Linked DNA regions of Elephas maximus indicus. The protein of the gene in region 4 purifies or fractionates together with the protein of the main gene of each other region. This does not show direct contact. Links are inferred from orthologs where the notes say so. Each region holds a gene or a part of one and is shown on either strand. Other genes may lie near its edges. The genes, in order: CAD, CCT8, ATP2A2 and ILK.

Region 1 (7,436 bases), on a different chromosome or scaffold from region 4:
TGGTCATGTTTTTAAAAAGAAGACTCCTTGTCTTTCAGAGATAGATGAACTATTGGTGGATGAAATGATACAAAGTCTGAAATTTGCTTCAAAATAATCAGGGAGTGGTAATGGTGATGATGAAATAAGATTAACCAAGACTTGATTATTATACTATTCTCTCCTTTTATGTTTGAAATCTTCCACCTAAGTGATAGCTTCTCTGGCCCCAGAAAGCAATCTAACCCTTCTAAAAAAAAAATTTTAGATCGGGCATATTCTATCACAAGCTTGGACTGGAGTCTAGGAAACCTTATCTTGATCCTTTCCATCCAGGCATACTGTGCTCCGCCGAGACACACGTGTGCTTGCCATCATACCTTGCAGGCCAGGTATGCCATGTTCCTGCAGCCACTCATGCAGAGTGCAGGTGGCACTCCAGTGGCTGGGCGTGGGGCAGCACTCTCCTACCACCAGTCCTGCCACGTGGATCTCTGAGGATTCAAACCACTGTAGATGGAAGGAGGAGACTGTGAGGAGCAGCTCAAGGCCAAATATCTCCCTCTGTCACTTTTACCCATCTTCTCCCATTACGTGGCCATGGGCCCTCTATTTCAGTTACACTGTATCATCTTCACCACCACCCAGCACTTCACAGCTCCCTTTACCAACAATACCATCCCCCACATTAAACATTAACACATGGAGTGTGTCTTTGTCACAGAACCGTGAACTCAAGAGCAAGGTGCCTGACACATAGCATCAGTCAACAAACATTTTGAGTCTTCACTAGGTGCCAGGCATTGTAACAGATGCTGATAGAGCAGTGAGCAAGAAAAGATAGGGTCCAGTCTTCATGATGTTTATTTCCTTCGTACGAGCAGAAAATTAACAAGTCGACATGTAAACTAACAATAATTACACAGGTTATACAAACAAGGTGCTAAGATAGGTAGGTGCTCGATACATTACTAAATAAAAGCGAAGGCTCAAGTTACAATACTGTAAGTGATTATACCTCTCCACTCCAAAAGGACTAATTAAAAAAAGAAGAGAATACGAATTTGTTAACTGATCAACAAGCATTTAGTAACTAAATGGAGAAACCAGTAGTTTATTTGGGAAGTAGTGGCATATTTAAATTCCATTCTGCTAAATGGTAAAAGGTTTAAGGGAAGATGGATGTCGAGACTGTTCTTTAGGAATCTGAAGGATAGAGTTTGGCAGATGAGTAAAAACAGCCCTCCCTGACAAGCGAAGTCCACCTGGCATGGGCAAGTACATTTACAACACATGTGCTACAAGGGCATTGGCGTTGGGTTGGTGGTTGCGGAAGGTCTCAATCTCTCTGGTCTAGCCAGGGCCACAATTTTAGAGGTCTGTAAACTCAATTCTGTCAGTGTGCCTAGAGCTGATAGAGCTGAAGGCTGATGTATGTTAACCAAATTCACAAAATATTGAATTAAAAGTTAAGAGTGCAATGTATTTATAGGTTTGTGATAACAAATGGGCCTTTCCAGGAATAACAGTGTTCGTTATCCAGTCTTTCCAGCGTCAGGGTAACCTGGAAGGCAAATCTAGAATCTAATGGTCGGTTGCTCAGTAAGCCTGGAATCATGGACAAAATGGGTTTTAAGGAATACTGCTATGTTGACTTCCACTATTATCCCAATTGCTAGTTTTTTTACTACTTTAACTCAGAGGGCATCTTGGTTTCCAATTCCAAAGGAGAAAGAATAGTGGCAACCTCACTGAACTTCAAGAGGAAACTGAACTTTCTTACCTAGAGGTAAGAACACTACAGAAAAGAAGTAGAAAATGAGGTAAGGAAAGTATGTTTAGAAGATTGTAACCAACTTTCACTGGTTCTGTAGGTGAACTGGGACCCAATGTCTCTGGAAAAAGATGTGATCTTGGTTTCCAGCCCCCTTCCACTAATCTATGCAATCCTGAAGCATTGCTCCCATCATGTGACTCTTGTTAAACAAGCTCCGAAGGGTCCTTATCAGATCAAGATTAGACGTTGGTTTGACTTCATTCCTATTGTATCTAACCCATCTTTGCGTTACTTCTGCATTATTCTTCTACACTTTTTGCCACTTTCCTTGATTCATGTCTTCACTGTTGTTTGTTGTGAGACCTATGTCTCCACTACATACACAATATTCTGGACTTTGCCTATAGCCTTGGTGCCCCTAACAAAGAGGGGATAGCTCTCTCCTCCTAGGCTCCCACCATGCTGAGCTTCTCAAAGTATCTACCAACCCAAGTTTAACTACAGTCACCTCAGTACTTATCACTTCAGTGTTTATATTTGTTCTCTCCAGGTTGCCTGGCAGAGTGTCAATGTCTTCACTTCACTAATAATTATTGATTTGAAAAAGAATGTAGAGAAAGCATTGGGCATGGCTACCTTGCTGAGACCGAACTCATCCACTTCATCTGGGGGGATGCCATAGTTGCCGATCAGAGGATATGTCAGGACTAAGATCTGTGCTTTGTAGGAAGGATCAGTGAGGGCCTCGGGGTAGCCCACCATGCCGGTCTGAAACACTGCAAAAAAGGGACAGGGAGAGGGCTCCGCAGGGTACCCTCCAGAACTCCGCCCCGGGCGAAGAGATGCCCCCGTCAGGGTACGCTGCCATGGGCGTGACGGGTGGTAAGGGCAGGGCTGGGGACCTGGCGGCAGAACGCGGGGAGGGTGTGCAGGCGGGAAAATGGCGGGGTCTGGGCAGGGAAGGCAGTGCGGAGATCGGAGTGGGATGAGGTCGGCAGCCTGCCCAAGCTTGCTTACCCACTTCCCCGGCAGTCGAAACAGAGGCCCCAAAGGGCTGGCCCCGCAGGACCGACCCGTCCTCCAACACCAGGGCCGCCATGGGAACGGCGCTTAGAGGCAGGGCCGAGCACGGACAAGCGGTGGAGCGCCGCAAGCCCCAGCCGGCGCTGGAACCACGTGAAGACGACGCGCCGGGAATCGGTCCACGTGGCTAACCGCGCCGGTGCCGGAGCACAGGCGGGCGTGGTCCGCGCAGCAGCCTAGCGCGCCGGCGGCCGGGCGTCTGCGGCGGCGCAGGGAGCCGGCGGCGTGAGGGGCGGGGCCGGGCACGCACGGGGCGGGGCCGGAGCGGCGCCGCGGTGGCTCTGCGCCGCGAGACCGCGGTCTCCTCCTCCCCTGCAAAGGCTAGGGAAACCCGAAAACACTGACTACCCCAAAGCGGCCTCTTACATCCCAACCAAGAAACACACTGAGGCAGGGCAACTTTTCCTAAAAACAAACAAACAAAAAACCACATGACAATGACAAGGAAAAAAGTGTTTATTATAGTCAACAACACAAACGGGAACTGGTACTCTACCCCTGGAGAAGGTGTCCACAACACTTGAGAATAGGGCAATTTTCCATCTTCCTTCCAACCTCGTCCTCGGCCTGGATGACGCCTTAACTAGGTCACTAGGGGGACCCATGTGGTTCATGAAGACTTGGCTTTTCGGCGTTGGGTCCCCCACAGCAGAATGCAGATGGATACCGTGGTGGATCCCAGAATCCCGAAGAACACAATTAGTGAGAACGAGCCCTGTAAGTAACAGTCCAACAACTCTCATTGAGCATTACACTGAAGGCTACAGCCTAACACCTAGTTCCCTGTTAGTACACTTGTTCCCTCATTCAGGACAATTCTAACTTTGCTCCCCTGGGTGACGTGCATTAGCTTCCGGTCTTGTGGCTCTTCTTTGAGACAGGTTTCTGCTCTATGCTTTTTTCTCTAAGGCCTCATTCCTCACCTGGCGCATACACTTGTAGCCATGGAAACCATCAGCGCAAAGACACTGCAAGAGACCTGGACCATTAGGAGCACAAGATCCATTCTCAGGACACATTTCTGGCAGCCAGAGAAAAACAGAGAACATCACTGGATCTCATCAGATAAATTTCTTAAATATCTGCTTCAATTCAGGTTCTCTCAATCCTTTGTAGATCAGTGGTAAACATCACTATAGATAATCAGAACATAATGACAATATATTCTAAAACTTTTTTTCCCAATTAGAGCCTCAGAACTCTGAACAAAAGGCACCTAAGCAATTTTAGTCTTTCTGATCTAAAATGAGTAAGAGAGGAAAGGCAGTTGCCAGAAGGGCAGAGATGAGACAGCATACCTGGGCTTCCAGTGCTGTTGCAAAGGTTCCTTTGCCCTTGGCAGGTTTGCTTGTCTGTGTGAGTGGTGATAGTATTCCAGGCACTAATACCTCCAGGACAGCTGACATTTTGTGGCAGTATCCTGAAGACAACACAGGTTGTCATAATATATTCAACCCAAAGTCGCTGAGCTCACAGCACTACTCCTCTTATTCTCTCCCCTAATCCCCACACCCTGTACTTACAGAGTCTGGAGCTGAGTAAAGCCATGGAAGGTGTTAACCAAGTCATCCTTGAGGGGGTTTGCTTGCAGGTCTCTGCAAAGCACACACTGTTAGCATTCTGCTCAGGACAGCACCCATCTCCATTCACACATCTTCCTAGACTGGTAATCCAGAGTAAACTTAGACATTAATACTCATCCATCTTTTTAGGAGTCCATCCCCAAAGACTGTCTCATCAACCCTTTGCCATAGTCATTTTCTGGGAGGGAGGGGACCTAACCACTTACATGATGATAGCAGTATGTGCCTGAGGGAAGTTTGGACCAGGGTCCTTCAGAGAACAGTTTTGGAGATCCAGCCTGAGGAAACAAAGTAATCAATGTAACTGTATGTCCTTCTTCTTCATTCATGACAAGGTTTGTATTTGATACCCAACTCCCTTTTAGGTTATCAGTATAAATTGAAAACAGCCTGTGTGAGAGCCACATACTCGGTGCTGTGGTAGATGTTGTAATCCTGCATTGTCCAATACAATCATCACTACCTACATGTAGCTATGTAAATTTAAATTAATTAAAATTAAATTAAAAATTCAGTCTCTCACTGGCACTGGCTACACCTCATGTGGTCAGTGGCTACTGTATTGGGCAGACAGATATGGAACATTTCCATCTTTGCAGAAAGTTCTAATGGTCAATGCTGTTCTAATAAGTACTATGTCCTGTCAGTTCACATCTGTACACATATTGGATTCACATCTGTACACATATTAGAAGAAATTTATTCCTTGTCTAGATTAGTGGATCTCATATTATGGCATTACGAGTCTCAGATCCAAAAAGGGCTTTCGAATAAAAAAAAAAAAAAAGATGCAAGTCACATAAATGAAAATTTCCTCAAAGTACATTATCTATCACAGGCTGGATATAAGCTCCTGGACGTTACGGACCCATGCTGCAATTATTTTGTCTTCAATATCTATCACTTTTCGTTCCTTTATTCTACAAATATGTACTGTATGCCTACTAATTGCAAAACATTGGGAAAGTATATATATTTATACACACACATATAAAGTCTAACTCAGTATCTTAGCCTTCAAGTAGCTTACAATTTAGTAGGGGAACAAGAAAATCACCAAAAACAATATAAACGTTAAATTACAATATGAAAGAAATAACAGTACAGCGTGTAAATAAATTTGAGTGGTACAGACACTAAGTATTAGAGGAAGTCAAAGAAACTATTACTCTGGGATTTAGTAGTGGGAAACATTCACAAAAAATGCTAAAACTGAAGGATGGCTATGTCCTAATTTGGTGAAAGAAGGTAATTCCAGGTAAAGAGAGAGGCTCTCCAAAACAACAAAGAAACAAAAGTAGAATGCCTTTGTAAGTGAATCTGGCTGAAGCCAGACCCTCACTGGGGGTTTGACTGGACAAATAATTGGAAATAATGTAGGAAAGGTGGATTGTGACCAGTCTGTGGTAGGTATCAAATGTCTAATGCATGGTTTGAACTTTATCCTGAGAAAATAGTTATAAATATGGTCTTAAAACCAAGAGAATGGTAATGGAAAAATTTGGTTTTGGGGAAGTTCGAAGTGAAGGTGAAGCATTCCAGATGAAATGTTTAATAATAAGTTGGAAGTACCCATACGTACCTGGAGCTCTGAGAGGTGTTAAGGACACTGAGAGAACTAGTTTTGGGAGACACCTACGAGGTGGTTATAGCTGAAGCCATAAGAATAGGTGGATTCTCCAGAGTGTACACGGAGAAGGGCGGAGGGTCAAGGAGTGAATCTGAGGGACTAACTAGTATAAGGGACAGTGAGGGGAATTTGCCTCAAACACGAATTAATCACAAGGGGAAGAAAACTGTATTAGCATAATGTCTTGGAGAATAACTGGAGACACTCAGTGAATAATACAAAGACTTGATAATAAATAAAACAAAACCGGAAGCATAACAGCTTATCAAAAAATTTTAAAAAACAGGTAAAAATTATGATTTTTATGCAGCTTTAACCAGAAAAAACTATAGGATTGTTTCCTAGCCAAAAATGATACACAGATTTAAAAGTATGAGAATGAATCATGGTTTAAAAGGTGCCGCCAATATAGGCACGAATAGTTATGCCAAGTCTATCAAACAAGCCTTGTGGACTCTGTTCTGAAAACTCCCCCGCCCTCCCCTATCCAAGGATGTGTTCTCCCTCACCCCAAGATGGCGCCCTTCTGATTGAAGCAGCAGCGGGCATACAACATTAGCTTCGGGGTCTGCTTACAAAACAGAGCCACTTCGGACAAATTTTGCACACTCCCTGGGCACTGGATGCATATCTGTAGAAGAGAGAAACCTATTAGGACCCCAGAAAGAAAAGTCAAGAACAGAACGGCGATCCAGAGTTAACTGCCAATATACCTCTCCTTTTCTCTAACAAAGGGCGGGGAAGTGGCTCTTGTCCTACCTTTTATCCGGTTGGATAGGGGATATCTTTCTTTCCCTAGAGGCAAAGCAGCGCATCAAACACTTCCATTACCAGCCCTCTCCAAGAAAATACTTTCATCTTTGAAAAACAGTATTCGACCATATTTATTATGCCCTCTCCAGTGACTTCTCAATCTGACAGCTCCGGTTTGACCGGGTGTATAAGAACAAGAAGGTACACAATGAACTCATCGAACATTCCGGAAAGTAAAGTCCTGCCCACGCACGAAATACTGCATTCGTGCGCGCACAGCTTACAGAAGAGCCACAAGACTGCTCTGTTAAAAGACAAGCTTCAAGCTCTTCAAAAACTGAGTGAGGAGGTCAAATTTCAAGTCTTTAAAGGTAGGCAGGGCGGGGGCGCCAGGAGGCGTGCGAACTCCGGAGCCAGGCCCGGGAGGAGGCTTCAGGGACGAAATCTGAGCTGCGGGCCGGCTGGGGCAGGGCGTGCGAACGCTATACACCAGCTTGCCCGCAACTCCGCTTCAGTCCGACCTCTGACTTGCTTCGGTACCTCGGGTAGCGCCAGAGCCCTTTCCACCCCCAGAGCGAGGAGCAGGGCGGTTGCACAGAGCACCAGGCTCGTAGGACCGCCGGGCCTGCGA
Region 2 (6,886 bases), on a different chromosome or scaffold from region 4:
AACACCAGGAACCGACAGAATATCGACTGAGATGTTTCAACAAACGGATGCAGCACTGGAAGTGCTCACTCATCTATAACAAGAAATTTGGAAGACAGCTACCTGGCCAACTGACTGGAAGAGATTCATATTTACGCCTGTTCCAAAGAAGGTGATCCAACCGAATGGAGAAATTATTGAACAATATCATTAATATCACACACAAGCAAAATTTTGATGAAGATCATTCAAAAGCAGCTGCAGCAGTAGATCGACAGGGAACTGCCAGAAATTCAGGCTGGATTCAGAAGAGGAAGTGGAACCAGGGATATCATTGCTGAAGTAACACAAATCCTGGCTGAAGGAGAGGATACCAGAAGGATATCTACCCGTGTTTTATCGACTATGCAAAGGCATTCGACTGCATGGATCATAACAAATTATGGATAACATTGCAATGAATGGGAATTCTGGAACACTTAATTGTGGTCATGAGGAACCTGTATATAGATCAAGAGGCAGTTGTTCAGACAGAACAAGGGGATACTGAGTGGTTTTAAGTCCGGAAAGGTATACGTCAGGGTTATATCCTTTCACCATACCTATTCAATCTGTATGCTGAGCAGATAGTCCAAGAAGCTGGACTATATGAAGAACCGGGCATCAGGGTTAGAAGAAGACTCATTAATAACCTACTTTATACAGATGACACAACCTTGCTTGCTGAAAGTGAAGAGGACTTGAGGCACTTACTGATGAAGATTTAAGACCACAGCCTTCAGTATGGATTGCACCTCAACATAAAGAAAACACACCCCAAAATCTTTGCAACTGGACCAATGAGCAACATCATGATAAAAGGAGAAAAGATTGAAGTTCTCAAGGATTTCATTTTACTTGGATCCACAATCAACACCCATGGAAGCAGCAGTCAAGAAATCAAAAGGTGCATTGCACTGGGCAAATCTGCTGCAAAGGACCTTTTTAAAGTGTCAAAGAACAAAGATGTCACCTTGAAGACTAAGGTGCGCCTGACCCAAGCCATGATGCTTTCAATCGCCTCATATGCATGTGAAAGCTGAACAATGAATAAGGAAGGCCAAAGAAGAATCGACACCTTTGAATTGTGGTGTTGGCAAAGAATACTGAACATACCACGGACTGCCAAAAGAACAAACAAATCTGTCTTAGAAGAAGTACAACCAGAATGCTCCTTAGAAGCAAGGATGGCAAGACTGCGTCTTACATGCTTTGGACATGTTGTCAGGAGGGATCAGTCCCTGGAGAAGGACATCATGCTTGGCAAAGCACAGTGTCAGCAGAAAAGAGGAAGACCCTCAACGAGATGGATTGACAGAGCAGCTGCAACAATGGGTTCAAGCATAACAATGATTGTAAGGATGGTGAAGGACCAGGCAGTGTTTCGTTCTGTTGTACATAAGGTCGCTATGAGTGGGAACTGACTTGATGGCACCTAACAACAAGAACAACATCTGGAACATAACATCAACCCTGATGCTCAGCTCACAGGAAATTCAGATCACCTGGAAACAATCCTCTTTGTCACCATAAAAAAGTGTTAGGAGTGACAACTGAAACCATTTAAAACCACACAGCTTATTATCCACATTAGCATGACTTTACTATTCCACTGTCTTCAACGCCAGTCTCTCGGCTCTGCTGCCTCCCTTTCTCTGCCATCACTTCTCCCTGACTTCAATGTTACAGCCCTCTCTCTTGGTTTCCTGGTTCCAGGAGCTTCCCAGCTCAGGGATCCCGGGTCCAGTGGGCACGCTCTGCTTCTGGCTCTTCTTCCTAGGTGGTAGTAAGATCCTCTCCTCTCTCTCCTGGAATGGCTCTTTTTAAGCCCGGAAGGATGGCAAAACTGACCAATCCCCTTGGTGGGCCACAATTCCTTTATTTGCAAAGTCCAACCCAATCATTTGGGTGGGAGTTACAAGACCATGACAAGAAAGGCCACGTAAAAGTGACCATCACCTGGCAACTCTATTATCATTCAGTCTTTGTTTATTGTTGTAAAAAAATAACACATTTGTCAATTCAACATTCAGTACACAGTTTAGTGCTATCAATTATAATAATTATAATCAGTGCCAAATTTCACCATAAACCCTCACTACTTCCTAAACATTAAAAAAAAAGAAATAGCTCTCCCTTATTCAATCTTTTTAAATCAGATGATGTGGGAAGATTCAGAGATCAGGTTTTAAAGGATTCTAGGAGAGTAAAAGTCCCTGGGTAGTGCAAATGGTTAACGTGCTCTGCTGCTAACTGAAAGGTTGGAAATTTGAGTTCACCTAGAGGCACCTTGGAGGAAAAACCCAGCGAACTACTTCCAAAAAGTCAGCCATTGAAAACCCTGTGGAGCACAGTTCTACTCTGACACTCATGGGCTGGCCATGAGTTGGAGTTGCCTGCATGGCAACTGGTTAGGAGTGTAAAAGGGATTTCCAACATCTGTCTGTCGGTTCATCATACTGTGGTGGATTTGCATGTTGCTATGAAGTTTTTTTTTTTTTTTTTATGAAGTTATAGCGGAAACCCTGGTGGCATAGTGGTTAAGTGCTACGGCTGCTAACCAAAGGGTCAGCAGTTCAAATCCTCCAGGCGCTCCTTGGAAACTCTATGGGGCAGTTCTAGGTTTTGTGAAGTTATTGGCACCAGTATTTCAAATACCAGCAGGGTCACCCATGGTGAATAGGTTTCAGCAAAGCTTCCAGACTAAGACAGTCTAGGAAGAAAGGCCCGATGATCTAAAACTTAACCAATGAAAATACTATGGATCACAACAGATTATTGTCCAATATAATGCTAGAAAATGAACTCCCTCGGTTGGTTGCTGTGTCATGGAATCAGTTTCGATTCCTAGTAGAACTGTGACAGACTAGAACTGCCCCATAGGGTATTTTTGGCTGTAATGTTTACAGGAGCAGATTGCCAGGTCTTTTCTCCATCGGACCAGCTGGGTTAGCAGTCCAGCGTGTTTTTGCCAGCTCGAAGACTCTTAAAATGCACGGTGGCCCCTAGCAATGGACTCAAACATATCAACCATCCTAAAGATGGTGCAGCACCAGGCAGTGTTTCAGTTTGTTGTACAGGTGGTCACCATGAGTCAGAGCCAACTCGAGGGCAACTAACAACGACAACAAAAGGGATTTATTTTTGCAGGAAGAAGTAGAAAACGGGAATATAGATAGTGGTTGAGAACATGCATTTTGGGTTTTTTTTTTTTCATCTGGGTAGGAATCTTGGCTTTAACATTTACTAGCTTTGTGGTCTCAGGGAAATCATTTGCCATGTGTGAACTTCAGTTTCCCCTTCTATTAAATGGAGAAAATAGTTAACTTGTTAAGACTGGCCGTTAACTAAGATACTGTGCGTAAAGCAAATAACAGAGCGTGGAATATATGAGTCATTGATACAATGCTACGTTCATTAACGAATTTAATCTTCACCTTCACGTCCCCAGCACTTCCTGCAATGCCCAGCACAGAGCCGACGCTCAATTATGTTATATATACATACATGCATATATATATATACAAACAGGTGCTCTGCCTTGGAAAGAAGAGGCACACCTGCCCTGATGTTGGTGGCTGGGTCTGGGAAATTAAGCCTGGGAGGGGGGCGTTCCCAAGTCAGAACCAACGAAAACCAAACGTTCCCGCCGACCCTAACAGCACGACGAGCTCGGATTCAAACGGCCTAGGCTTCTTGCGCATGCGTTGACCGGAAGGCGCGGCCTGCCACCCGCCCGATTGATCGACTTGATCGAAGATCGTCTGCTCGATTCTGGCTGCGGGAGCTGCCCTCGCTCTCGCGATGCTGTCGGCTGAGGATTACGCAGGGGAGAGGAGGCGTGCCCAACTGGAGCGACTGAAAGCTTGAGGCCGCGGCTCGTAGCACTCCCAGAAGGCTGTGCGCGCCCCTCGCTTCCTCCGGGAGCAGCCGAGTGAGCGCGTGAGCGGCTCTGTGCAGACCGAGCATGGCGCTTCACGTCCCCAAGGCCCCGGGCTTTGCCCAGATGCTCAAGGAAGGAGCGAAAGTAAGAGATGGAGGAAGAGGGTCAGGTGGGGGAGTCAGCGTGGGGCTGCGGCGACCTTAGCGAAGGAGAAGGGCCTAGTAACGGGCCGGACACGCTCCCCCGGCGCCGCGCGCGGGGCTGGAGAAGATTCCAGAAAGGGAGGAGTGCTCAGTAGGACTCAGCCCATCGGTCCGCGGGCATTTCAGTCCCTCCCCGGCCCGGGGAAAGGCAGGTGGGCGGAGGGGCAGGGACGGCAGATGAGGGTCGAGGCCGGCATTTGCGTTCACTTCTTGGCTGGGCGAGCGCAGAGGTCCTGGTGCACGTTTTCTCTATGCGTAAAATGGGGCTAATTTGGCTCTCCACTTTTACAGGATATTGTGAGGGTGAGAACTGCTTTGGGTCCGCGAAGCCGGTTCACGCACAGCTCTTGGCGTAGTGTTCGAGGTTATAGGATGGGAAAGAGCAAGGGGAGGGAGACGCAACGAGGAGAGCGTAGAACAAGGACCAGTTCTTGGCTGACTCTTTCCACAGGAGAACGGAGGGCTCCCCTCTGTCGCTTTTCGCTTGTAGAAGCAGGTGTTAGAGTAGGACAGACATTACATGCAATCCAAGTGGGGTCTGGCCCCAACTGCTGTGAGCTAGTTTGGTGTAGAACTTGTCCCTCTGAGTCTTGAATTCCTCGTCTTTCAGTTGAGGAGATGGGACCAGAAGACGGTACCTTTGAGTTCTAACCATGTGACTTACCTGTGTAACCCGCAAGATAACTGACACTCTGACCCAAATAAAATTATCTTGGCTTATGGTCAGGTCTTGAACGTTGGAATAATGGTGTTCTGATACTCGTTTCCCACATTTTCTTTGCCTAATTAAGGAAATACAGATCAGTGAGGTTGAATTTAAGGTTTTATGGGACGTAAAGGGGCACTAACAGTTTTAGAAAGCTAGGTTTTTACTACTTGCAGGATGTGCTTTGAGGATAACTTGGGTGTAGTAATGTCAGTGTATAATGTAAACGTTGGGGAAACAAGTTCGCTGAAATGGGCAGTGGCTGCTTCCGTAAAAAATCAGGATGAGCACTTTTCATTAATACAGGTTTGGAAAATTGTTCTGTATCACAAAACCTTATTTAAATGTCATTCAGATGCTAGTAGTTTTCTGCAGACTGCTGTATGTGAGATAATCATTCAACAAATAGGGACTTGAGGGCCTGCAATGAAAGAAATCTTAGCTCTCTTAAACTTTATATTCTTTTGGGGAAGAAATAATCAAATAAACAACAACATTTTAAATAGTTGCCTGAAGAAAACAAATAGTACTGTAGTTGAGAATGACAGAAATTAAACAAACAAAAAAACTGCCTCCCTAAAAAAAGAAGGGTCAGGGGCAAATAAAACAAATGAGATGTTTGGGGAAGAATGTTTAGCTTAGTTCTGAGTTGACAGGATGGACCAGCCAAGATCAGATGGGAGAGTGTTGAAGTAGAAAGACCCTGAGGATGGAATTAATTTGACCTGTTAAAAGAGCAGTAAGAAGGATGATGGGACTGAAGCTTACCAAGGGTAGACACAAATGATAGATGTATGTAGAGGAGCTGTAGGCCAGGGCAAGAAGCCCGGGTGGCAGAGTGGTTAAGTGCTCGCTGCTAACCAAATGGTTAGCAGCTTGAACCCACCAGTCACCCTGTGGGAGAAGGATGTGGCAGTCTTCTTCTGTAAAGATTTACAGCCCTAGAAACCCTATGGGGCAGTTCTACTCTGTCCTACAGGGTCTGTCAATTCAACTTTCAAAAATAGGACTTTTAAGAACTTCAAGAAGCAACAGGGTTTGGGGAGGTATCTGACAAAAGAATAAGTTCACCTGGAAAACTAAATATACCAGAATATCCAGAAAAGACTAGGTCGCTATGAGTCCCAGTCAACTCAGTAGCAACAGGTTTTGGTATGCAGGGGTGAGGTCTTGTTGGACCTTGTAGCCCTAAAGAGAGATTTAGGTTTTATTCTCAGAGTGATGGGAAGCCATAGAAGGGTCTTAAATACGGGAGTGATGGGGTCTGATTTATGATTTAAAACAAACAAAAAAAACCTTGTTTCCCAGGATGAGGGTGAGGGAAAAGAGCAAGAGAGGAAGCCTGGGGGTCAGACTGACTGCTGCTGTAGGAGTCCCGCTCTTTTCACTGGAGAAACTTCTGAAGGAGTGGTTGTTAAGCTTTTCTGAATCACAGCTCCTTCTATGAATATTTTTTAAGCTATGCCTTAATGTCTAGAACAACACAGTCCAGAACTTTCTGCGATGATGAAAATGTTCTATATCTGTGCCACTACGATAGCCACTATCCAGATGTGATCACTGAGCACTTGCACTGTGACAAGTACTACTGAGGAACTGAATTTATCCTAAATAGCTGTGTGTGACTAATGGCTACTGTTTAGGACATTGCGGCTCTAGAAAAATGCTCAGGTCTGCAGGAAGCTCATAAAGCCTATCTGAGGCCCCAAATTAATTCTAGCTCTGAAAAAGTCCAGTGTAAAATTTCAGAATTTTAGCATTCCCACCATTTCACCAGTTTTTCAGTTTGCGTGCTTTGGAATTGTAATTACAAGACCATTCAGAAGCCTGTGTGCTCTAGCGCCTAAGTATTTGGAGGCAGGTATTTAGCTTCATTTACTTTATGAGTGGGAATTCCCACTGGCCGTAAAGCCTAGGCTCTTAATAGAGTAAGGAAAATGTCCATACCACATTTCAACCTGTGGTTAGAAAATACAGATAAACTCTGAAAAGGTGTTCTTCCTGAAACATGTTTTGTGATCGATCTTGTACTCTTCCCCACACTGCCTTTTCACTACCTTAAAAACATATGTAGAT
Region 3 (7,408 bases), on a different chromosome or scaffold from region 4:
TGAACAATTAGATCCAGTTGATTAGTTCTTTTCAATCTGGGTGATTCTCTAGAAGTTCTGTTGGATAAAGACATAGAAGGCATGCTGATCAAATCTGTGGGTAATCCAAAGCTGGGAGGTATAGCTAAAACATCTCTTGAGAGATGAAGACTCCAAAAGACCACAACATACTGCCAATATGAACCTGCTAACATTCAATTACAGGCAAAATTTCATCTGGGTTAAAAAGAATTAACAAAGCAAGTACATGCTGAGAAGATTTAACCTGTCCGCAGCTCACATACAGAGGACTCTGTTTTGAGTTGACTGTTAACACAGATCAACCATGTGCAGGTGAAAGGATCCAGAAGGTGGGTAGTGATAACTGTCCAGAGTTTTGTGTCCGTTAGTGGGCATCTGCAGTACTGGATGACAAGGATGCTGAGAGGCAGCAGAATTATGCTGTAGGAAGAACAACTCAGGGACTGAGCTGCTCTTTTTCAGCTGGGAAAAGAGACTTTTAGCACAATAGACATCTTGAAAGGGATATCACATAGAAGAATTAAAGTTATTCAGAGTGGTTCCAGAGAGCTAAACAAGAACCAATGTATAGAAGTTAATGGGAGGTATATTCATATTTGGCCCAGAATGAGACTGCTTTACTGTTTAGAGTGGTCCCAGTACGGAACAGGCTGCCTTTTGCAATCTCCATCACTTTACAGGAGGCGCATGGAAGGTTGGGGAGCTGACTGGAGCCTCTCATTTCCAAGTCACTCTTTTTGTCTCCCTAGCTTTTTAAACCAGGCTGCCTGACCAGCTTCTGTCCCCCTTTATTGATGCCTTTGAAGTTCTTTGATTAAATCATCTGTCTTTCTGAATCACAGGTTCCCTTCTTCTTTTCTCTCCCTGTCCTCAATTTATTGAATATAGCTGGAATCCTTGGTGGAAAAAAGAGAATATTTATACAATCCAATCTTGTTTTTAACCTTGCTAAGAAGAAACAAGTGTAGTTCAATAGATGAAATATATTGAGCACAAGTTTACTTCTACATAAGAGAAACTAGATCCATCTGCCTATGGGAGGCTGGGTTTATGGTAAATTTGGCCACCTATAAACATGCTTCAATATTCCAATTCAGAGATATCAACAGATTGAGAAATCAAGGGTATAATAAAAAAACCAAACTATTTGCCAGCGAATCAATTCCAGCTTATGGCAACCCCATGCGTGTCAGAGTACCACTGTACTCCATAGGATTTTCAATGGCTGATTTTTCATAAGTAGATTGCCAGGCCTTTCTTTCAAGGTGCCTCCGGGTGCACTTGAATCTCCGACCTTTCTATTAGCAGCCAAGCCCTTGACTATTTGCACCACCCAGGGACTCCAAGGGCGTAATAATTGGTATGATAATATAGAAGGGGGCAACCCTAGGTGAAAAATCCAGCCTACAGGAGATAAAAAATACTTGTGAAGAACAGCCGAGCCGAGGAGGGTGATGGCAATGTGGTAGCAGTACCAATGTGAACTTAAACATTACTCATCTCTGAGAAACCTATAATGTTGTCTAGCTTTGCTTTTGTTTATTTTAAACCTGATGAACCTTCATAACCATTCCTATGAGGCAAGTAGTTCAGAGTTCCTCCTATTTTTCACAAATTGGAAATCAGTGATCTTTGGCTCAGCAAAACTTCCCTGAGGCCCTCCCATGGGCAATGCCCTTTGCAAGCCATTGAACAGTTGGGGATGGGGGGACTCATTCATTCATTCCAATAGTAGGCACTCAGTAATTGATGAGTGTATACCAGAGACCGCTCTGGGTACTGAGGATGGATGAGACAGCCAACATCTTTTCATGGAGCTTACCTATATCCTAGTCAGGGGAGATAGGCAGCAAACAGCACCACAAAAATGCAAAATCAGGGATAAGAGCTGTGAAGAAAACAAAACTGAATAATGTCATAGAGGGTGCCTGGGGAGGGTAGCCATTTCAGATAGAGTAGTCATCAAAGACCTCTCTGGGAAGGTGATGTTTAAGCTGAGCTCTGAATGATAAAATGGAACTAGGCATGTGCAGGTCTGAAAGACCACCATTCCGGTTCTTCCAGTACAAAGGGCTGAGGTGGGTCAGGAGCCCCTCAAGAACCTCATGATTGCCCAGAGGCGCTTACAACTGTCATGTAGAGTCCGGACCACAGAATGAAGATCCAAAGTCAGATGCCCAAGATAATTTCCAGGCTGAGAAGAGGTACTGATCCTCCTGCCTGTGGTGCTTCTATCAGTGCTGAGGGAGGTGAAGCTGAAGAATCGGTAAGAAATGGCGGCGCAGACCTGGTGTCCAGGGACAAGAATCACCAGCCTTCTATCACCACATCCCCAACGATGGTCACGTGCTTCCTGCAAGAGGCTTCAATCCTGTGACCCAACCAGTTTCTACCTTGTTCTTTCAGTGCACTGCTTTACGCGAGCACTTTTTTTTCTTGTTTCGTGTAGGGCTTTTTTGGTCCAAGTATCAATCAGAACTGCGCGCCAGCCTCCACTCCTTGGAAATAATGAAATGAAATGACATGCCTGTTTTTTTCACTGGGGTAATATACTATGATTTGCATTTGCTGAAGGAATTTATCTGAAGTCCTGAGGCTGAGCTGTCTAGGACAGCTGAGGTGCTTTTTGCTCCGCTTTTGTTCATGCAGACGGTACACTACTGCCAAACAGTTAAGTGGCCTAAATGCTTCCTTCTGAAATACGCTTCATTAAGAAAGCTTCCCTTCCTTGTGAAGCCAGTATGTTCAGTTTTGCTCAGAAATTCAATGCAAAGGTCCGTCCCTTTAAGTAGGAATTTCTTTATATTGTCGAAATTTCTTTTATCTTGCTTGTACCTAAGCTTCGTACAGACCCCAGAAACAAATTATCTGTGACTTAAGAATAGCGTTAGGAACGAAGTCCCTTCTATTGGGGAAAGTGGAGTCTAGAAAATCACCTTCATCTTCTTCAAGTCCCAGCCAAGCATCCGACGCAATCCTAGCTGCAATTTAGCAGTTACGGTAGCATAGCCTGTAACTTCTATGCAGACATGCATCACAGGCGATATGGGCTATTACAAATAAAAAACCTCCCCCTCCCTCAGACTGGGGTTCCCTGTCAGGGTACAGAGCCCGCTGGAGAAGGGCTGATACGGCGTGCGGTGGCGCCCCGGCTGGGGACGTGGGTTGCGGCGTTCCTGAGGCGACAGATGAGGAATTTGAACCGTGTGGGAAGAAAGCTGCGGAATTCCTCCCCTCGGCTCCTTGGGGATCTGAGGGAGACGCACTAGCACCCAGAGCGCGGTCCTGCAGACAGAGGCGAGACCGCGAGCCGAGAGCACCACCGAGCGCGCCTTGGGGAAGCCCAGCGTGGACCGAGCGCCTCGGCCTCGCCCTCGCCTTCCCGGCCACCCACCCTGGCCGAAGTAGGCCCCGAAGGGCGTTTCCTCGGGGCCGCGAGTGCACGGAGGGAGGCCCCCGAGGCCAATCACACTCTGCCACCCTGGGTTCTGCGTCTGCGGGAGAAGCGCGGGCCGGGAGCCGCAGGACTGAGGAGACGCCGGGGCGCGCTATCCGCCATCCCGCTTCTGCCCTCGGGCCGCAGCGCGCACTGCGCGGGCACAGCGGCGCGCTCCGGCCTCGATCCGGGTTCCTGGGCGGCGCGCGGAGGAGGCGGGGCCTGCGCGGCGGCGTGGGCGCGAGGCGCGCGATAGGGAGGGAGCCGCGCGCGGGGAGGGGGCGGGGCCGCGCCGCCCGCGCCGCGCTGGGCGCTCTCGGCCAATGAGCGACGTCCACATGCCGCGGCGGCGGCGAGAGGGGAGGCAGCAGCGGATAAATGCTATTAGAGCAGCCGCCGCGGAGCCGTCCCCGACGCCACCTCATTCTCCTCCGCCGCAGTTCGCTCCGCCGCTGTCGGGGGTGCGGGGCTGAGGGAACAGGGCGAGCGCGCCGCACACCACCCCGCTGGCTCGCCTCCCTCGCTCCGTTCAGCTCTCTCAGGGGTCCGCCGGCGTCCCCTCCTGCGGCCCAGGCGGGGCGGCTGATCGCCTCAGGAGAGCGGGAAGCACTGGGGGCCGCGGCCTGCGCTGCCGGCGGGCCGTTGAGGGTGAAGGAGGCCCTCCTTTCTGCCGAGGGTCGGAGGGCCGGGGGCCCCCAGCCCGCCAGTGCGGGCGCCGGCGCGGACCGGCCTCGAGAGGGGAGGTTGTCGTGAGAGGAGGCGCGGGGTGATTCAGCGCCCGGGAGGCGGAAGCGGCCGGAGGAGGAGGCGGGGGAGAGGCCGCGATCGGCCAGCGCGCGCCTGGGCGCCCGGGGTGGCACGAGCCGGCGGCGGCCCGAGGGCGAGTCTGAGGCGAGGAGGCCGCGGGGACGCGAGAAGAGGCTGGCCGGGCCCCCGCCGCCATGGAGAACGCGCACACAAAGACGGTGGAGGAGGTGCTGGGCCACTTCGGCGTCAACGAGAGCACGGGGCTGAGCGTGGAGCAGGTCAAGAAGCTCAAGGAGAGATGGGGCTCCAACGGTAGGTGCCGCGCCGGGTGCGGGCGCCGCGTGGGCCCGAGCGCCAGGGAAGATGGCTGACCCGGCTCCGCCGCGTGGGGCTCGGCCGGGCGCCCGCCGGGGTCTGCAGGGCGGCTCAGGGCCCGGCCCCGGAGAGGGGCTGCGGCGGGCCGCCCCGTCGGGCTCGACCCTTGGCGCCCGGAGCTCTTGACCTTCCCGGCGCGCAGCTAGCGCGGTGGCCCCGTTGGAGGGAGGGCCGAGCCCTGCGAGACGTGTTCTCGTCCCGCGCCGCTTTCTGAGGGCGGCGTTGCCGCTGGGAAAGCCTCTGCTCTCGTACTCCCCGAAGTTACACATCTGGAAGAAGTGATGACATAGCTGAAACGACTCCTTCCTTCAGGAGGCCAGTTTCGCCGCGATGCTTTCCTCCTTCGGGTTAGACATAAGGCCCCTAAAAACTATTGTCTATTTCATTCTAGTATGCTTCATATTAAAAAAAAAAGATTGTTCATGTATCTAGGTCTTTCTTTCAAAGACAGAGGTGCTGATAATTTTAGCAGTTCTTTTCAGAAAGGCAAGAGTACTAAAAATTTTTTTTTTCTTGCCCTCTTTCGACATGCTGCTTGGCGAATTTCTTCATTTTACAGAGTTACCGGCTGAAGAAGGTAAGTCATCTTAAAAGGCCCCCCCCCCTCTTTGGTGTGCTGGTGTTAAGATGACAATTATAACAAGTATGTTTGTTTCTAACAGGAAAAACCTTGCTAGAACTTGTGATTGAGCAGTTTGAAGACTTACTAGTTAGAATTTTATTGCTGGCAGCATGTATATCTTTTGTAAGTATAAAGAAATTTATTTCTTCTCCCCCCCCAAAAGTTGAGGATATTCCATAGATGAAAAGCCAGAAAACAGTGGTGTCCATTGGAGGAAAACTTAGAGATTTATGCTGTCTCCATGTTTAAAAAAAAAGAAACATGAGATTTTCAGGTTATAAGCAAAACACTTGAAGCCATTCGTGTGCAGTACATATTAATAGATGCTTGATGTTTACAATGTAATTAGAAATTGTTCCCAAATGTGGCAGGGTCTTAGAAATTTTGTTTTACTACCAAAAAGTTCTTCATTGGGAGGCCTTTTTGGGTTCATCCATTGTTATGTTGTAAGATCGTACTAAGATGCTGTCTGGTGCCTCGTCAACTGTAAATAGAACTTACAAAAGGAATATTCTAGTTGCTTTCCCTTCCTGGTAATGGCAAGGTGACAGTTGTTCCTGAGAGTGACAAGAATGATGACGGCAGTGATGGCACCACTGTTGACCAAATTTGGTCACTGACCTTTAGGATGGTATATTTATCTAAATTGGACCCCTGTCTTGAGTGACTTCTGGGTTGAGAGAACTAGATTCAGTACATTGGTTCTGAATCTTAAAAGAAAAAAACCCAGCATAGGGTTTTTTTCTTGTTCTGTATGTGCTTACCGGCTGGAGTCCTGTACGGTTGCTAAGAAACTGGTGAAATGCAAAGAACTACAATAGAAAGGTTTGAGGGGGGGCGGTATGAGAGGATATTTCTAGGCTATTAATTTTTTTTCTGTTCACTATTAATTTTGTATTGCTTTTTTTTTTTGAGCCATGCACTTTTTTGGTAGATTTCCTAAAAACGTTCGTGAGCAGGACACAGATGTTCCTAATCCTCAAAGCTTGAGATCCCTTTTGTTTTTAAATTAGTTACAGCATTTTATTCTTACGAAAACCGTGATGGGAAGTGAAATTCATCCAGGCGGTACTTTTTTCTGGCTTCACAAAATTGACGCAGCTTGAAGGTTTCATTTTTGTATGTACGTATGCAAGCCCCAGGGATCTATCTCAGTCTGTGACAATCATGGATAGAGGACTATTTTGAGAACTAAATAAACTAGAAGTGGGCATTTAATTAGTTCAGGTGAGGGAAAGGATTGCTTTTATCTTCGTTTTTTTAAGTAGAGGGTGTCAAGAGGTGAACATCTGGTGTGATTTTGTACGTAAATTCTGTCTACTTAGCCAAGTGATATGTAGCCATTAATAATTCACCATCCCCATACTAGAGTCTTTTCTGTGGTGTTCATTGAATAAAATTGAGAGCATCGCATAGCAAACCGTTTAGCATACTGAATCACTCCATATCTCTTGTGTGTATGTTTTTGATTTAATCTTTTTAAAAATTTCCTCCCCTCCCCCGGTAAATGCTGCTGTATCAAATGAGATAAATTGAGTAGACCTGTTCGATTAACTGGAGCTGTATTACGTTGCCACCGGGCAAAACAAGTGACATATTTGGGCTAGTATAATATTTATATTTAAGTAGGCTACATAATTTTGAAATAGTCTCAGTTCACTTTGGCAGATAATAGGGTCCAATTAGGGTTCAACAAACTGTTGCCAAGTTATTCTGTCTGTTGTAACTTAAAGCAGTGTTAGAAATAATGTTGCTGATGTTACAATGAAGTATTTACTGGCTGTTTGGGTGGTTCTTTAACTCTGAAGTCATTATTAGGTGTTAATAGTTTCTAGGCATTTTCAAATGGGTTTTAAGTTTGCTGTGAAGTAGGACGTTGGCTTTTTAGAGCTATATTTTGGATTTGAAATTTGAGTTACGTTTGTGGTAACTAGTTGGGAGTTATTGTTCAGGAAAGAGCAGTGTTATGTTTCTGTTTTTGTGGGTTGCTAATTAACAAATGAATACTAAGTGTTAGGAAGTAGTTTTACTATAGAAATCACTTAAATTTGCCTTGCTTTGGTTTGTTTGGTCAAGAATTTGTGGGTGTTAAATCTGTTTTGTTGATTTCCTTCTTGTGAGGCTGGCACTGCTTTATTGTACTTGACCTTTTCACTCCTCATATCTTTATCTTTCAAAAGAAAGCCCCTGAGTCTTTTTTTTGTGGT
Region 4 (7,352 bases):
AAATGAGAACAGCTGCTTTGGAAGGAAAACTATACCTGACTTTTTTTTTTTTTTTTTTCCCTTAAGGGCATGTATTTTACAAAGGAAAAGAAGTATACAAAAAACAAAGCAATTGGGTGGGAGCTGGGCCTGCCTGACAGGCTGGGGCCATAAAAGGAAATTCCCTCCAGTCCCAGGCTGCAAACCCAAGGGGCGGGGCAGGGGGCGGGCCAAGGTCTGGGCTAGCAGCCTCCAGATGCCTTAGTGTTTCAGTCACTTCCCATCGGGGGCTCTAGGCGGGGCCTGGAGCTTGTCAGGGGTCTAGCCACCCTGACACACAAGCAGCTGATGGGGGTGGGGACTGCCGCCTCTAATTTACAGATCTCCTACAGCTTGCCTTCATCTGCTAACACAGCTAGCCAAAAGTTTTCCTGGGAGGTGGGTATCCACCGGAAGCAATTGCAACCTCCTGCTTATCAGTCTTGCCTCTCAGTTCCTTAATTTGTGCCCTGACTTATCAGCCTGCAGCAGTCTGTGGCCCCAGGGCAGACCAGCCTGAGGGCAAAAGTATGGGCACAAAGGCTCTCCCCAATGTCCAGTTGCCCGTCACCTCAGGCTCTGGATTTCCTATCCCAGAGATGCCTGCAGGAAATTGTCCCTCCACCCCCTCATACCCAGCATATATCCAGCTTGGGCCCCCAGACCCTGTCCCCTGAAACCAGCACCAAAGCCTTCTAGTTTCCCTAATGCCACTGTACCTTTTGGCAGAAGAGTCCTCCTAGATGCCTAAGCCTCTGTTTGTTCAAGAAAGTAGGAATGGTGCTTACTGTTTTTATCAAGCACCCTCTGAGAAATATGAAAAATGGAACAAGTGTACTCTGCAAATTATGAGGGAGAAATTGTATAAAGTCTAATGGGAACCAGTGAAGCTTAAACTAAGATGACTGGTGATCCTTACCTTTCAAATCTTAACATTACACTCCCCCAACTTTAAAAAATAAATTATAATCCCCACTGTGAATCGCCATCACTACTGCCATCTCAGCCAGTTTTAAAGAACTTGTTTACATTTACATTCACTTTATTTCCACACCTCCCATTCATTTTTTAACCTGCCACAGGTTGGCCACCTTGAGGGCAGGGATCAAGGGATCTGACTCTGGGTTTCCCGAGCCCAGCACAGGAAATGTTCAGTACGTTTCCTTAAATGAATGAACCCAATATAGTCCACTTTATTTTTTCTCTGAAATGGCTCTCACCAAAATCATCAAATATATCCTAATTGCAAATTCAACAGGTAAAGTTATTTTAAAGCTGCCTATATTATTGTCACACTGCACTACTGTTGACCACTCCGCTTTCATTGAAACATTCTCTGAGCTTTACTAACACACTTTTCTTTTTCTCCTTCAATCTCTGGTTGCTCCTTTTCCGTCTCCTTGCAGGCGTCTCATCCCCTGCCGTCTTGTCTTCCACTCTTCCAAGGCTCTTTCCTTCACACACATCTTCAGTTATTATCTATACGCTAATATCTACCAAATCTGTGCCTCCAACTCTGATCTCTCCTGAACACAAAATCTGCATAACCAATAACCTACTGTTTTGTCACCTTAACACATGCAAAATGGTACTCATCATCTTCCTTCAGTCTTCTCCATCTCAGTAAAAGGAACCACCATCTACTAAGTGTCCAAGCCAGAACCCTGGTTATCACCTATGACCTTCCTCACTTCCCACAGCAAGCACCACCAATTCCTCACCCTAAAGATTTTTGGAATCAGATCACTTCTGTCAGGCGCCCCCATTCTAGTCCAACCCATTGTCACTTCTGGAATAGCTTCCTGATACGCATTCTTGCCTGTGCTTCATAAAGCATCCAAGATGATACTTAACAAATGGGCAATCTCATCATATTACTACACAGCTTTAAGGGTTTGCTCTTAAAGACCTTATTATGCCCTAAATATCTTAACACGATCTGGCTAACCCCTGCAGTCCTCTCCAGACTTATCTCCTATCATTCTCCTCTTGTATCCAACGCTGCAGCCCACAGAAACAGTATTCTATCCTCCAGCCATATGGAACTCCAGAAAATTTCTTGTAACTCTCAGCTTTGTGTCTTGCCTCCCTGCCTTCGCCCATGTAGTTCACTGAGGCTGGAATGCTCTCTGCGGCCTCTGGCTGTGAAACTCATTCAGTTGTTCGAACACTGCTTCTTCCGTGGAGACCCTCTGCCCTCCACAGCTGTGCTTAACACTCATCACACTGGATGGAAAAGTTGGCCACCTCCGCCAGACATGAGCACCCCACGTCGGGGAGAAGGGTAAGACTCTGGCCATCCTCTCCCCACCAGCCGCCTGAGCTCACCCCTGGTTGAGGTCGTTCTCCGTGTTGTCCAGCCACAGGCGCACCGCAACCGCGTTGCCTTCACGGCACTGAGTGAAAATGTCGTCCATAGCAGCGTCCCGGCGCTGAGTGCCCTAGATCGGGTAAGCCTGGGGACTACAGCGTGACCCAGGGGAGAGGGGTGAGCCCCAACCTTTGTCCTCTACAAGACAGAAGTGTTTCTGTTGGGGGCGGGCGTCTGGGCGCTGCGTCCCCGGCTTGTAGGGGGTCAGGAATGGGAATTTAGTGCAATGGGATGATCCCCGACTGTGTCCACTGGGCATGAGGGAAAGGCAAGTCCGGGAGGGGAAGGAGATAGGCGCTGGTGTCTGCCGAAGGGATATCGGAGGGCAGGCACGGAGACACCACCCGCGAACAGAGCTGGGGGCGGGGGCAGGAGTGGGGAGGTCCGGGCACCGTACACCCGGTAGGAGGGGATCCCCGCGTATGGACCCCATTCCCTCCCGGGAATTCAGACGGAGTGAGGGGTCACGGGCTGGTGGGCCTGAGTGTTGGGGAGGGGCGCGGGTAGCCCCGCACTCACCGGGACTCGGGCTCGAGGCGCCTTCTCCGGGGAACTCCCGTCCGGCCGCGCCCGCCACCCGGCCCCGCCCCGCCCCTGGCCTTAGCGGGCCGGCGCGGGCCTCCCTCCCTCCCTCCCTTCCCGCCCCTCCCTTGCCCTTCTAGCTCGCTAGTGTGGAAACTCGATGGTTTTCGGCGCTGCGCCGGCCGCTCTAGCTGCCCCTGGCTTTCACTCTTTGGTTCCCAGCTTCTGCCCGGCTGGTGTAGGCACTTTGACTCCGGGAGACGCTATCGCACGTGGAGGGACGCCGGGCACCGCGACTCTGCCCTCCTGGCCCTCATGTTCGAGGAGCCCGAGTGGACCGAGGAGGCCCTAGCAGCCACGGCCTTCGGGCCCGTCGCCGCAGGGCCCCGGCCCGCGGCAGCCGTGCGTATCAAGGTGAGTGGCCACGCAGGGGCACTGGGACCTGTTTTGGGGCGCCAAAGCATTAGGGAAATCCCAGCGCCAGGGGCACACCAAGTGTGTATTGGGTGGGTAGGTGGGCCCAGCGGCACCGTTTGAGGCGAGTTCTGATTGAAGATCCGAAAACATTTAAGAGAAAATGATATTTGAGCTAAGTGATGAATAGAAATTTAAGCAAAAAGGGTTCCTTAGACCGGGGGGGGGGGAGAGGGGGGAGCACGTGCAGAGGTCGTGGGGCAAGAGCTTATGACCTGTTAGGGCCCACCAAAATGATCCGTGTGGTTGGAGCACAGAGAGTAAGTGAGAGGGGATGATGTTTAAGTTGGAGAGGTGGAAGTTTTGTATATTTTAAGTGCAGAGAGAAGCCAATGAAGTATTTGTAACAGGGGAGCGATTTGTTCAGATTTGCATTTTGAAAACATCACTGGTTACAGTGTGTGGAGAATGGGTTGGAGAGAGCAAGAGTTTGTGACATAGGGCTATGAGTATTATGATTAAAGGGGGTATGGGTGGGAACTAAGAACCTCCAAGGTAAGTGCCTGGTCTAGGACCACCCAGCAGGACTTCAACCCAGAATCAGCCTCCCCCACTAAGGCCTCCACCTTTGAGCCTCTACATATGTGCCGGCTGCTGTACTTTCTCACCCTCTTACTTCCTGTACGCTTCAGTGTGCTTCTAATATGAAATCTGCATGACTGACATCTGCTTATTCCCTTTTCATCTCCTCAGCTCATTGCCACAATCCAGATCACTGTTCTCTTGCCTGTACACTTGGAACAACCTTCTCACTGGTCTCTTTGTAGGTTTTCTCTTGACACTGCAGTTAGAGGCATCTTTAATGCGCACATCTGATCCTGTCACTCTTGTGCTCAGAAACCTGTGGCTCCCTACTTATTATAGAGTGGTATCATCAGCTGGGGACAAAAGCCTGAAATTGAGAGTTGGAACTCCTGGTCTCTGGCCTTGGGCCCTGTTGCTTGTGGCCTGAGCACATTCATCTAGGGAATTTCCATTGCCTCATCTGCACATTGAAGAAGGAGGAGTGGGTGGTTTCTCCACTCTCCACCTCCCAAGGTTTGGGACTAGGAAATGAACATTCTTCAGGGTCTTGCAGGCTTCCCAACTTAGCTGACTGGGAAGAATCCAGATATCTCTGCCAGTGCCTGAATCAGGCTCCCACCTCTCCCTTCTTACACTCCAGAACTCATCTATCCTCCTCACCCCACTCTCATACCTTGCTTACCCCAAGGGCTCCAAGCACCGCAAGCTCTTGGCCACCTTACGGGCCCTGGAGGCTGCATCTCTTCCCCAGCAACCCCCCAGCCTACCTGAAAGTGACTCTGAAGAGGAGGAGATAGAAAGGAAGAAGAAACGCCCCAAAAAGGCCTTGTTTGCTAGTGCCTCTGCTGAAGTAAAGGAGAAAAGGAAGAACAAACATCAAAAACAGGCCAGGTCTGGGAGTGACTCTGAGGATGAGGAAGTGGAAAGAAAGAAGAAAAGCTGCAAACGGGCTCTTCTTGGCAGTGAGTCTGTTGAAGAGGAGAAAAGAAAGAGGAAATGCCAGAAACAGGCTCCTTCAAGCAGAGCCCAGCACCTGGATAGTGTTGACCAAACAGGTACTCTTGGATATGTACATATATATATGGGGGGCAGGGGAGGGCAGGGAAGATCAGCTGATCCTACGTGTGACAGAGGCTACCTGTCACCATTAGGACTGGGGTTAGCCAATAAGAAGTACTTTCATCCAGGCCACAGTCTCTGTCTCAAGGGCAGGCATATCAGGGGATATTGAGTTTATGTTAATTGTGGTGCAATAATTCAGGAAAGGATAGTGACAATGGTTGTACAACACGAAGAATGTAATCAGTGTTGCTGGATTGTACATGAAGAAACTGTTGAATTGGTGAGTGTTTTGTTGTGTATACTTTCACCACATTAAAAAAAAAAAGACAGGCATATGGCCAATGTGACTTGCCAAGTGTCTGCTTGCAGAGGATCTTGCCTCAAATACACCTTCCCATTGCCCTACCTGCAGGTTCCAAAGTCCAGAAGGGTAGTGCTGCAGATGACCCACACAAGCCAAGCCCTGGGTCTGCTTCCCCTCAGTTACCCCATACCTTGAGCCGTAAGCAGTGGCGGAACCGACAGAAGAATAAGCGGAGACACAAGAACAAGTTTCGGCCACCTCAACCGCCAACCCAGGCTCTGGCCCTGGCTCCCACAGAGGAGGCAGAGGTGCCTCCTCCTCCCAGGCCAGACGGCTACGAGGCTCGGGCGGGAGCTCTGCGAGCCCGCATGGTACAGAGGCTGGATGGCGCCCGATTTCGCTACCTCAACGAACAGCTATACTCAGGGCCCAGCAGTGCTGCACAGCGCCTCTTCCAGGAAGACCCAGAGGCCTTTCTCATCTACCACCGTGGCTTCCAGAGCCAAGTCAATAAGTGGCCCCTGCAGCCTGTGGACCGCATCATCAGGGATCTTCGCCAGAGGTGAATGGGGGTGGGCACTGTAAGAAGTGATAATGGGTCAGTTATCATGGGCTCTGACCAGGCCAGTGAGCGACCCTTCCCTTCCGTTCCCAGGCCTGCGTCTCTGGTGGTGGCTGACTTCGGCTGTGGGGACTGTCGCTTGGCTTCGAGTATCCGGAACCCTGTGCATTGCTTTGACTTGGCCTCTCTGGACCCCAGGGTCACTGTGTGTGACATGGCCCAGGTAAACTCATCTGTGTATTTGGACTGTGCTCTAGGTCCATGTGCTCATCTCTTTAAAGCCCTCCTCCTCCTAACCCCCCGCCCAGGTGCCCAACCCTAGCACCCAGTGCTGGCTTTCTCCTCCTCCCCACACTGTGTGCCTGCCCCCATTTGCCCAGCTGCATGCTTCATACAGCAGTCTCTCTCCACAGGTGCCCCTGGAGGATGAGTCTGTGGACGTGGCTGTGTTCTGCCTGTCACTGATGGGAACTAACATCAGGGACTTCCTGGAGGAGGCAAATCGAGTGCTGAAGCCAGGGTAGGAACCCTGTGGACACAGATGCATATATGTGTGTGCATGCGCGTGTCTGCATTTACACAGAACTCTCCATCCCTCTCAGGGGTCTTCTGAAAGTGGCTGAGGTCAGCAGCCGCTTTCAAGATGTTCGGGCCTTTCTAGGGGCTGTGACCAAGTTGGGCTTCAAGGTCATCTCCAAGGTAAGTGCCCTAGAAAGTCTATTTTTGTTTTATGTGCAGCCCTTTCCAGGGGAGTGGTGTACAGGAAGGAGGCCATAAGCACAAGAACAGACATTTGCTCTCTGAAGGCACAACTCATGGGGTAGCCCTGGGAAGCTTTCTGAACAGGGGTGGGAGATGGAAGGAGGTATTTTGAGCAGCTAGGATGAGGATTTAGAACTTACTGGATCTTTTCTGCCCCTAGGACCTGACCAACAGCCACTTCTTCTTGTTCGACTTCCAGAAGACTGGACCCCCTCTGGTGGGGCCAAAGGCTGAACTCTCAGGCCTAAAGCTTCAGCCATGTCTCTACAAGCGCAGGTGACTGCTGGACCTCCCTTGAAAGGGGAGGCAGGGTTCAAACTCCTGGCTCAGAGCCCTGAAAACTGTAGCCAGCCAGGCTGTGAGCTAGGACCTGATGTCACCCTGCCCCATCCAAAGAACAAAATGTGATGAAGGCCCTGGCTCGGCCCCTGATCTAATGGAGGCTTCCTCGGTTGCAAGAAGCATGAAGTCACTCAGACTAGCTAAAGACTAAGGGGTTTATCCCGAGACTACAGGGATGTCCAGGAATCATGGATCCCTTTAGGCGTCATGGAAACTACATGGTTTGGAATTCAGGGCATCTCTGGGTTTAGTTTTCTTTTTCCATCTCAGGGGCCACATGGACTTTTTCTTGCTGTCTCCACTCCTCTCTTCAGATCTTCTCTCTGCAGACCAGCGCCTCTGCTCACTCACAGCTGCTGTTCTTTCAGCTTTGGTCTGCCCAGGCCTTCAAGGCTGTGACAGGTGTTGCT

The links.
Region 1: the proteins of ILK (region 4) and CAD purify together in Homo sapiens (affinity purification with mass spectrometry; 4 studies listed by BioGRID and IntAct, with this or other methods). This does not show direct contact. The link is inferred for Elephas maximus indicus from reciprocal best matches to the Homo sapiens genes ILK and CAD.
Region 2: the proteins of ILK (region 4) and CCT8 purify together in Homo sapiens (affinity purification with mass spectrometry; 4 studies listed by BioGRID and IntAct, with this or other methods). This does not show direct contact. The link is inferred for Elephas maximus indicus from reciprocal best matches to the Homo sapiens genes ILK and CCT8.
Region 3: the proteins of ILK (region 4) and ATP2A2 purify together in Homo sapiens (affinity purification with mass spectrometry; 3 studies listed by BioGRID and IntAct, with this or other methods). This does not show direct contact. The link is inferred for Elephas maximus indicus from reciprocal best matches to the Homo sapiens genes ILK and ATP2A2.

What each region holds. Positions count from the first base shown.
Region 1 is NC_064830.1:45,716,003-45,723,438, reverse strand, and holds the start of CAD (CAD protein), read right to left. Parts: upstream 3,007-7,436; 5' UTR 2,856-3,006; coding exon 2,774-2,855; intron 2,533-2,773; coding exon 2,393-2,532; intron 490-2,392; coding exon 360-489; intron 1-359. Other genes in the region: ATRAID (all-trans retinoic acid-induced differentiation factor), read right to left, coding at 3,450-3,554, 3,763-3,860, 4,138-4,259, 4,363-4,434, 4,629-4,700, 6,562-6,683, 7,346-7,436. UniProt on the Homo sapiens protein: Multifunctional protein that encodes the first 3 enzymatic activities of the de novo pyrimidine pathway: carbamoylphosphate synthetase (CPSase; EC 6.3.5.5), aspartate transcarbamylase (ATCase; EC 2.1.3.2) and dihydroorotase (DHOase; EC 3.5.2.3).
Region 2 is NC_064836.1:32,734,943-32,741,828, forward strand, and holds the start of CCT8 (T-complex protein 1 subunit theta), read left to right. Parts: upstream 1-3,885; 5' UTR 3,886-3,985; coding exon 3,986-4,045; intron 4,046-6,886. UniProt on the Homo sapiens protein: Component of the chaperonin-containing T-complex (TRiC), a molecular chaperone complex that assists the folding of actin, tubulin and other proteins upon ATP hydrolysis.
Region 3 is NC_064840.1:8,905,765-8,913,172, forward strand, and holds the start of ATP2A2 (sarcoplasmic/endoplasmic reticulum calcium ATPase 2), read left to right. Parts: upstream 1-4,398; coding exon 4,399-4,516; intron 4,517-5,138; coding exon 5,139-5,156; intron 5,157-5,241; coding exon 5,242-5,324; intron 5,325-7,408.
Region 4 is NC_064825.1:60,261,516-60,268,867, reverse strand, and holds the start of ILK (integrin-linked protein kinase), read right to left. Parts: upstream 3,001-7,352; 5' UTR 2,909-3,000; intron 2,528-2,908; 5' UTR 2,436-2,527; coding exon 2,347-2,435; intron 1-2,346. Other genes in the region: RRP8 (ribosomal RNA-processing protein 8), read left to right, coding at 3,227-3,325, 4,599-4,965, 5,385-5,838, 5,932-6,061, 6,252-6,358, 6,441-6,537, 6,761-6,880. UniProt on the Homo sapiens protein: Scaffold protein which mediates protein-protein interactions during a range of cellular events including focal adhesion assembly, cell adhesion and cell migration.